2 linked regions of the Arabidopsis thaliana genome follow. The protein of the gene in region 1 interacts with the protein of each later gene in a biochemical or structural test. Each region holds a gene or a part of one and is shown on either strand. Other genes may lie near its edges.

Region 1 (5,297 bases):
AGATGAAAAAAACAAAAAAAAAAAGTATAAGAGAACTCTGATTAGCAGAAAAGTCCATATTTATGCAAGTATTTTTTTAATTTAAAACTTTATAGGATCAATATGTCTATATTTGTTACAAATAATATAAGTTATCCGTTTTATGTGGATACATATCAGATGAAACAGCGATGACTGCAGCTATTCATCCGGTTTGGTGGTTGGTCATTCATGGTTCAGTGGTTATCCATCAGGGATCGAATAGCAATGCATGCAAATCGAAACCTCTGTCTTGTTCACATAAATATATATATGTCTGCGTATATATATCACATACATATATGTGACACCAATCAAGGTATTCCAAAATACCTTTTTTCATTTATTATAATCATTTTAAAGTTATGAATATATTTAGGAAATGGCAAATAGAATAATGTTGAGTTGAAAAAAAAAGCTAATGTCTACGGATTTAATGGATTCTTTTCATTTATTTATTTTTTTGCTGCCAATAAGTTAGTAGAGTGTAAGATAAATCTGAATTGGTCGAGTAAAATTCAATTAGTAGACAGAGGTTTACGTGTATGTAACCATGAATGACCCAATACAGTGAATCATTAAGATGCATCACATGTATGTATGTCTATCAGTTCAGTACATGTGATCCAAATACAGAAGAAAAGCTGTTATGTATCACTATTATTCTTACACACATCAAAGAGTCAAGACAAAGGATGTTACATAAAGATGAGTCCTCAAAACCAATGACTCATTTATTTTAAGTAAAACCAAAAACTTCCACATTAGCTTTAGATTAATGCAACGGATCAACAACTTGGCCAATGAACAGAACCACTCCTGTTATGTTCTCTGTGACCACCAATAGAAACGGATGGTCTGCAACAAAATCTATTTCATCTTCCTCCATAAGCAATCCTCTTAGCTTTATAACTCCAGCTGATGCAGCTGCAGCTTCTGTTCCTTCTTCATTCACTTCGATACACGCTTTATGGAAAATGTTCGATACGCATAGATTCTTCCCCATCTCAGGAGATTCAACCATCTCAGTTAAACCTTCTTCACCGCTGAAAGGCGAAGTCAGTCCCAATCCTTTTAAAACATTTGAAGCATCGAACCCGAAAGAGAATTTAAACTTTGGAATCTTGAATTCGCGGACTTTAACTTGTCTGCGTGGGATGTGGTTGTCTAAGAACCCAGGAGTGGAAACTATTTTGTCCAGAAGATCAGACAGTCCGTTGTTTGCATCGGGAAGATAAAAGTACATGGAGAATTGTCGCTTATCCTGTCCTTGTAAGTAAGGAAGTCCCAAAACTTTGAAACCATCGTAAGCACTTACGTATTGTTTCTTCTTGCTGGTCATGAATGGTGCAGTCACTTTGTTACCGTCAAGAAGGTGAAACTCGCCTTCTTGTGTTAACGACTCATCGAATTTCTCGTTCCATGTTCCCTTGAAGTACAATGCATTTGCAAATATCAGTTTGGTCATACTATCAGCTGATCCTTCTGGAAGAACCTCAGTGATGAGACCATTTGTCTCCTTTTCAGCCCATGAATTCACTTCAGCAATCACCTCCACAGCCTTCAAAAACAAAAATTATCAAACATAAACCCAATCAGTACATCAAATCACAAACCTTTTAAAAACCTCATTTCCACAGCCTTCAAAACAGAATAATCGACCTTAACCCTATCAGTACATCGAATCACAAGCCACTCAAAATTCCACACAAACCAAGATGCATAAGAAACCCTAGACACAGCCACAGAATCAAAACGTAGTAATCACATCACAAGCCACTCAAATTTCACACAAAACCAAAAGATCCATAAGAAACAATGAACCTATACAGATCCTCAGGGTAACATAATGAAAACAACAAATCCACATTTTGGCCTTTGATTGTGTCTACTAAAATCCACACAAAGTTAGTATTTACAACACCCTAGGAAGCAGAATCAAAATGTAGTAATCATATTGCAATCAATAAAACGAATTCGAGAGCAAGATTTCTGTAGAATCAAATCACAAGCCACCCTAATACGATCATATACAGATCCTCAAGTGTAAAATTCAGAAACAAAAATTCCACATTTTGGCCTAAGAGTGATTCTATTACAATCCACACAAAGTTCCTCTGTACCTGAAGAACTAAGTCTAGATCACAGAACCAAGTAATCAAATCAGAAAACTCACCTTCGATTGAAAATCAGCTTGATTCGAAGCAGCTTTATACGAATCTTCCAAGAGCTGTTTAAAGGAAGGTTTAAAGGAGAGAGACTTATCGATCCAGGCGCCATTAGCCACCGAGAGCTTAGGACCACCGTTAGCACTACCGTCAGCGAGAACAGCGGAGACGATTTCGGAAGAGAATGAATTAAGTTGATCAGTGGAAGAGAATTTGAGAAACGAGAGGATCTGATCTTTGGTAGCGCCGGCGGATCCAGCGGCGATTATACTGAGTACGACGTTGATTGAAGCCGGTGAGAAGATGACGTTGGAGTTTTGAGAGACGGTGGTGATTACGTGTTTTGCGAGATTCATGGAGACTTGGTTTTGCAGTGAGATTGATTCACGCACGTCCATTTTCGCCGGAGGTTGTGGTGGTGATGACTGGTAAACGAATTTGCTGGGTTTAGGAGAAGACGATTGATATATTTATTTTAGAGAAATATCTTAAAATTATATAATAATAATTAAATACAAAGATTATAAATGACATGTCGGTCAAATTTTTTTATTTTTTTTCTTCTAGCACGTCGGTCAATGGTATTTGACTATCTGGTGGCATATGAAAAAATTTCGTTATGACTATTTCGTTATGAATTTTTTTTATAGAGCTGAATGTTTTTTTTTTAAACCGAGTAAAGAAGAAAGAGAGACAAAAAATAGGGTTTTGAAAAACTCTTATACATTTAGAGGATTTAGATTCTTAAAATTTTACTTAAAATTACTATTTTTTTTGTATAAATAAATTAGAAAATTATAATTTTTTTTAATTATAAAATAAAATAAGGGTAAATAAGACTTAATTTTTTTTTGAAAAACCTACATTTGACTAATTTACAAGAAAAATAAATAGATGGACAATTTTGTTTTGTAGATATCCTTTAAATTTAGTTTTCCCAAATATTTTTTGTTTTTAAATTTCGCCTTTGAAAAAGAACTGATACAGATGTTTTTTTAAAAAAACTAAACCTTCATTACATAGTAAAACTGATATAAAATGTTTATCATTGATTTTTCAAAAATGTTATTTTCAATTTTCTTCATAAATCGTTATAAAAATATAGAAAAAATATGCTGACTTAATCCACAAAACTTGCAGTCTTAATATAAAATAAATTTAGATTACTCTTTTTTATTCACGGTTTTTATTAGATTGTCAAAACCTATCAAATATTAAGTTTGACTGGTGATATTGTTAGAATGGACAAATTAGTTAGCAATTTAGTTCGCTTTATTTTTTGTGTGAATTATAAACTGCCGTAAACCAACTTTACTTATATGTAAAAACCGTTTATATTTAGTTACGATAATTTCAATTATTTTTATTGTACTCTCATTATAATTTATAAATATAGTTTGTGAATTATAAATTAAAACTAATCTAATTTGTTCATCTCAACTGCCGCAAACATTCGCGATTATTGACATTTTAGTGTAATATAATATGTGTAAGAAAATACGCTCACCGCACACGTCGAAGCGCCAAGCGAAGAAGGTGGCACATCGGCAAGAGGAAAAAAGATGAATTGACAAAATCTTTTGAAATGATGTGTAAGCCTATAATGAACTTGAATGTATATGAATTAAAAAAAAGTGTGAATATGTGCTTTGCTTATCGATGACTTGTTGTGTTTATCTCTCGGTGGAAGCAATCGATTATTATAAACCATGTCTTCGACCAGACCATCTACACATCTTTTTATGAATTTTAATTCTCAAGTCTGTGATAACAAAAACTAAATAGAGACTAAACTAAAATAATAATTTAGAAATGGTCTTTTCTAATTAAGAAATAAGATGGTTTTCTTCTCAAGATGCTATATATATTTTTAGCATTTGATATTATGACACTAACTAAATAAAACCTCTATAAATTAATAATGTTGGGACTGCAAAATTTTATTAATTTAGAGAGGTATTAATTTATCGATAAATTAATAATAAATATATAAAGAGATTTTCCTAATTTGGTAAATTTTTAAAAAATTTCTATAAGATTTCTTTCTTTGTAGAAAATATCTTTCTAAAATCAGTTACAAGTAAAACATAATAATAATGTTTAGAAAATAACACCAAAAATTTTGATACAGTAAAATATGAAAACTATAGTCAAACAAAGAACAAATATGAATTTAAGCAAAAAAATATTATAAAGAATTTTTTTCTATAATATATATATATATATATATATATATACAATTATATATATATTTATACAATTATTAATTTATGATATTGATGAGACCATATATTTACATAGGACTTTCAAAAAAATTATTATTTTATTAATTTATCGATTTGTGTCACATTTTACACTGGTCCTAACTCGGGACCGAAAGAATTTATTAATTTATAAAAGTTATTAATTTATAGAGTATTAATTTATAGAATTTATACTGTAGTTTTTCTGACACAAATCTTTTATGTTTACATAACTCGACTAATCCTTGTCCTTATATTGAGGGGCAATCAAGTTTACGGTTTGGTTCAGGTTTCTAATTTTATTGGTTTTATATACGGGACACTAAAATCGAAAGAAAATACGGTTTACTTTTGCATTTGGTTTGATTTTTGTTTTCGTTTCTGAATCATTTCTATTTTAGTTAAACGTTTTTAAGTGAGTACAATAAAGAATAATTTTGTTATATTATACATTTTTTTGTTTGTTTTATTATACTTACATAAAATGATTAAATTATTTTAAATATAAAGATGTAACTAAAATATTTTTAAAAAATAGTACGTTTTATTTGTTTAGTTCGATTGTGTTTAGTAAATTCAAAATGAAATCAAACAGTTTATAAGTCTTTAGACTAAGGCCAGACCGCAAGGGCAAATCTTAGGCATTGGTTCCAAGGACGGTAACCTACTGAGAATGAAGGAAGAGAAGCGTGTGCAACCCTTCAACAACACCTCAAATCCTTAAATTTGAGGGCTTTTTGAACTCTAACAAGCCCTCAACCCTTTATTTTTTTAGGGTGTGAATAGTACAACCTCAAATACCCTTAAAATCTTTCTTATATTTCATTTTAGTCTTTATAATTTATATATTTTACAAATAGTTATATTT
Region 2 (5,410 bases), 270 kb from region 1:
GGAGGTCGTGTAAGAAAGAGACGGCGACAAAATTCACCGGCTTTCCGATGAATTTGAGCTGATTACGGAGAGAAAACCAATGCAAGAAACGAATGCATATTAATCAGAGACGTGTATCTCTCCTATTGCGTTTGATTTAAAATTATTAATGGGATAGGTTGTAGACGATGCTTATTGCGTTTGATTTAAAATTATTAATGGGATAGGTTGTAGACGATGCTTCAACAGTGGTACAAGAAAAAGAAAAAAAAAACTGAAAATATTTTTGGAAAGTTGTAAAGGGTAAAACTGTAAAACAACAATAGGTAAAAGTACATGAATTTGTGAATACTGTGAGATGTTCCTATCTCCACAAAAGCACAGACTTTAACGTGTCGATCCCATAATTGATCCATTATATGTAGCCATCACTAGTTTTAAAATTTATCACACATTTTAGTCAATTGAAAGAAATTTCAAAATTAAACATAAAATTTAAAAATTGATTTGTTAAAGTGCAAAAGAAAATCAAAATTTTAGGCGGGATGACTTCGTTAGGCTTCCTACTAGCAGAGCTAAATTAATGCAAAAGAAGTTGAAAAAGAATTGTGTTAAAGCAAAGATGATTTCGTTAGGCCTCATAGAAGCAAAGGTGTAAAACTTCCATAGGACCATAACATAGCCATAAATATTCAATTTTCTTGAATTAACAATAAATGTACTGTATCAATGAAACCCAACTATGAAACTGAATGAAACATAGGGTCCTTTTTTTATATACACGAAACCCAACAGCTGCATTTTTTATGTATCTAGTTATGGCATAAACAACAACATTAAAAAGCATCTGATAAATCCCTTCAGAGAGATCTCTTCTCTCATGAGCCAGAGTCCTCTTGAAGAAGCAATGTTTAGGCAATGTTCTTTCTGCCTTGTGACCAGAATGGCGTTGCGGGTTTACGCTTTAAGGCCTTAACACTAAATGGACTGTTCTTGCTCTGCAAATGATACATTCCCAAACAAGGTCAGGTGAGATTCAAGCATTATTTACCATCTTGATATTTGTTACTGAAAGTGGAAGAATTAGAACTTACCAATAAACAGGTTCCTTGATCAAGGTCACAAACCGGGTACTCGTGAGGGCAGCAACTATAGTTGTCATCACAGCAAGTGGCTGCTTCTAGTGGGCAACATCCCCAAGCAAAGCAATACTTGCCATACTCAAACAGACAACAACAAGTGTTGCTCTCAGGACAAGTGTAGTAACTGTCACATTGGGTTGGAGGCTTGATGGGAGATGGAGGTGAAGGTCCCGGGTTTGGCGGGTTTTCGCCATTCTTTATCGGGTATGAAGGTTCAATCGCGATTCCACATTTTCCTGATGAAGACGCAATGTTACGCGCCATCCTTAGGTATCCACTCTCTCCCCAGCTTTTACCCCATGAGTTTCTCACAATCCAGTAATCTTTGCCGTTCTCAGTTCCGTATCCAACCGCCACAACTCCGTGGTCTAGTTGTGTTCCACAACTTCCATCAAATATACCCTTCAGATGAAAAGATCACATCAACACATTAGAGACAAAGGTGACTAACAACAATATGAACATTTTGAGACCAAAAATAGTGAAAAGCTACTTAATATTCAACCACCTATTAGATGCAATTGTTTCATGCGTTTATATATGAATAAAACTTTACATTTTCAAACACTAGCAACATTTTTTTCAATTTTTCATAGAATTCTTTTGTAAAGTGTAAACGCAAACACCAAACAGAGTTTCTCCTTTCGTTTGTAATTGGCGTATACAATTAACAACAGAAGTGAAATGGATTTATATGCATAAAAACTAACAAACACCTAAGAACTATGAGAAGATGGTTAAATTTGTACCGAATCATAGAGCTGGAACGCACGACCACCAGCCTCAATGGCAATGCTAATGGGTTGATGAGCAACTGCTTTCTTCAACGATTCCTCGCTGTAAGTTGGAACATCCTCATATGAATCGATAGTGACAACTTTAGCGTTTTTCTGTAACAAGAAACCCACAAGAGGATTGATATAAGAATCATAAGTTGTGTTAATAATCAAATGTAATTCCTTGTCAAAACAAAAACCAATGTACTTACCCTGATCTGGTCACAAGTTCCATCAACACCCTTGTAAGGATAATCTTTGTCTGTATCGATTCCACCATTCTTGATAATGAACTCAAAAGCATAGTCCATAAGACCTCCGTTACAACCTTCGTTGTATGAAGTGTCACAATCGACCAACTCTTGTTCAGACAAGGTTATTAGGTCTCCGGTTACGATCTGGTTTATTCCCTCCACTGCTCCAATGGTTGAAAACGCCCAACAACTCCCTTCATTACCAATCATAAGTGTCAACAACATCAGCTTACAACAAAACATTAACATCAAACAGGAACACATATATTCTAATATCAATGTTCTGTAAGGAGGACTAAAATAATGTGCAATTTCTAACATAATCATGACTACGAAATTTAATGTTATAGTTAATCAGATTCATTCATAAACCTTATAACTGAAATTCATAACCAAAATGTACACATTTGAAATGCTGTGAGCCTGTAACCAAGTAAAACCTTATTTTTATGCTTAGGACAAAACAACTATAGCTCACAAGCAAAAATAACTAGACTATAAGTCAACGTCTCTAATTAAGTAATGACTAATGACCTATACACATGATGATTTGTTAAATTATTAGTACTATTAATTTCATTTATTGAGTTTTGTCTTGCTAACTAACACCCATAATTTCCGGAAGGGGCAAATATGTCATTTTCCAAAAGTTTCAAAACTTTATGATTGAATCAAAAAATGATATACTACGATAAGAGTAACTAAAAATGATGGTTAGATCCAGTAGAAACTTACCGCAACCACCCTGATCTTTGACCTCAGCCACGGCTCCTTTCTTCCTCCAGTCAATAGACTCCGGTAGCTCATCACCGACACGAGCCTCGTACCGTAGGCTAGTCCTTCTCTCACCTTTCTTCTCCATCTTAGCTCCAAGATACTTGGATCTATACTCATCGTTAGTAAGATCCGCAAAACGAGTCAAACCCAATCTATAACTAAGATTCTTCTCGTTATGTTCATCGACGAAACGAAGATTGTCTTTAAAGATCTCGAACCGTCGATCTTTCTCAACAAGAGAGTTCTGGCTCTGAGCCTTGCCGTGTTTCACCAACCATGCCTCGTAGATACTCATAACCTCGGCTTCGCTACGGCCACCGGTGGTGGAGACGCCATGTTTCTCGTCGTAGGAGATGATTGACATGTCCACGGCTGATGAAACGGCGACCATCGCTAGAAAAAGAATCGCCATGGTTGGCTTAAGGAACCCCATTTCTTCTTCAGTGTTTTCTTGGAGAAGAAGAAGAGAAAATGATGAAGAAGACGATTGTATGATGGACAAGAGATGGTGGTGGGGTATATATAAAAGCCAAATGAGATAAGTGTAATAATTGTTAGTTTTCTATTTTAATGTTTTCGTTCGTCACTCTTTTTAATTTTCTAAAATAATGGTGACTTGTTCCGAATTTTTTTATTAGAAAGTTCAATTTCGGAAAGGAAAAAATCCGTATGTTAGAAGAAAAAAAAGATAGGAAAAATCCAAATTATTTTTTTGATACGATAGAGAAACAATAAAAGTTATATGTATCCAACAAGTTGAAACGGAATCAAAACAGAAAAAAAGAATTAAAAATAAGTGGATCTAAAATAAATGAAGATAAGTGATTTATGGGCTTCTTTGTAGATAAGATATCATATGGGGTTTGACAAAAAAATAACTCCATGTTGAACTATAATTGAAACTGAAAAAAAAAAGAGTAGCAAATCAGATAATAAATAGTAAATAGTGCATTATTTACAATTTTTCAAATAATGTACATTTACCACTATTACTCATGTTATATTTGAACTAAAAAGAGGGAACCCAAACCAACATCAAATCATTTTTTTGTTTGTTATTATTATCCCTTTTCTCATTTCCTCTTTTTCCCAACAAAAATTTATGAGTCAAGTTTTCTTAATAATATTGAAAAGAAAAGTGGGCCAAAATAAATCTTGAGCCAAAAAAGAAAAGAACTCAAATCATTCTTTTTGTCATTTTAATAAGAAAAAAAAAATCAAAAACTTCAAATAAATGAACAAATCATCTCTAAACTTATACTTAATTGTATTTATTTTCTTAAATATTCAAAAACAAAAACTTGAGCCAAAATCCGATTTAAAAATCCTAATTAATTTCAGGGTCGGTTGAGATATTTTGATAAGTGAAAAAAAAAACAATAGTGTAAAGATGAAATCTATAAATGTGAATATGTGATGGTCAATTATTGGTTAGACAATATGGGTAGGAAGAGATGAGACGTCACTGATCTCTAATTGGCAAGCCAAAAATAAAATGTCCACACAAATAGGAGCGCGTGTTCTCACGTATTGTAAAAGACGCGTGGATAGGATTGTTACATGTAACTCGAGATTCTTATGAGTTTTTGATAATATAGAATCTAAAGTCTTACAAGTTACCATTATGAAATTAGATTGTTGTCTCTATTATTATGATTCCTTCCGAAATTAAAAGACTCAAAATATTTTCTATAATTTATTCATTTTACTCAAACTTCTTTAATATAATGCTTTCAAGAGTTAGCTTGTGACAATAGAACACTTGCTCTCTTTTTTTCGTCAGAGAATTAATAAAAATTATTATATTCAAGTGACATCGAATATTATACTTATCAAAATAAAAAAAATAATATTGTAATTTAGAGTTTTGGAAAAGAAAAAACTCAACAATAGTTTTGCGTGTAGAGATACACTGATGACGATATTGGAATTTATACATTCAATAAAAAGTATTAATGTGAAACGTATAATATGACTGAATAACGAATCATTAATTAGTATTTTAGAACTTTATTACACGCTAGTGTACATATGGCCAAAAACATTGAGACACAACTAACGCTCCTAGCCTAAGGGGAACTACATTCTATAATGAATCATAATAAGATGTACACTCAATAATCATAGACACATACTTTGAATGGAGACGATACGGTGCGAGACAAAAGAATATCAAAACTACATGTAAATTTTCTTTTTTTAATGCTTTGAACCGCACCTACCCACCTCCATGCTCCAAGTCACCATGAGAAACAAAACAATCAAAATCTATTGACGCAAAAAGGTAAACACTTTGCAATCAAGTAGAATATACTCATCATATGATACCAATGCTGAAGAACCAGCGAATTCAATTCTCCAATCTAAAGTTGAATTGCGAGATGGGATAAAATTTCTGACGGTGAAATTTGCGCATTAGTTATTGGTAAAATTTCATGACATGTTGAAATACGATTACATGGACAGAAAGTTTTGGATGGAA

What was found.
Region 2: the proteins of SERPIN1 (region 1) and RD21A form a complex in vitro, tested with the Arabidopsis thaliana proteins (one study listed by BioGRID).

What each region holds. Positions count from the first base shown.
Region 1 is NC_003070.9:17,555,558-17,560,854, reverse strand, and holds SERPIN1 (Serine protease inhibitor (SERPIN) family protein), read right to left. Parts: upstream 3,765-5,297; 5' UTR 3,732-3,764; coding exon 3,694-3,731; intron 2,719-3,693; exon of another isoform or gene 2,628-2,718; coding exon 2,195-2,627; intron 1,580-2,194; coding exon 794-1,579; 3' UTR 530-793; downstream 1-529. UniProt on the Arabidopsis thaliana protein: Inhibits metacaspase-9 (MC9) cysteine protease. Functions through cleavage of its reactive center loop and covalent binding to MC9. Involved in the control of elicitor-stimulated programmed cell death (PCD).
Region 2 is NC_003070.9:17,282,249-17,287,658, forward strand, and holds RD21A (Granulin repeat cysteine protease family protein), read right to left. Parts: upstream 3,502-5,410; 5' UTR 3,362-3,501; coding exon 2,887-3,361; intron 2,346-2,886; coding exon 2,110-2,345; intron 2,012-2,109; coding exon 1,871-2,011; intron 1,524-1,870; coding exon 1,074-1,523; intron 978-1,073; coding exon 891-977; 3' UTR 501-890; downstream 1-500.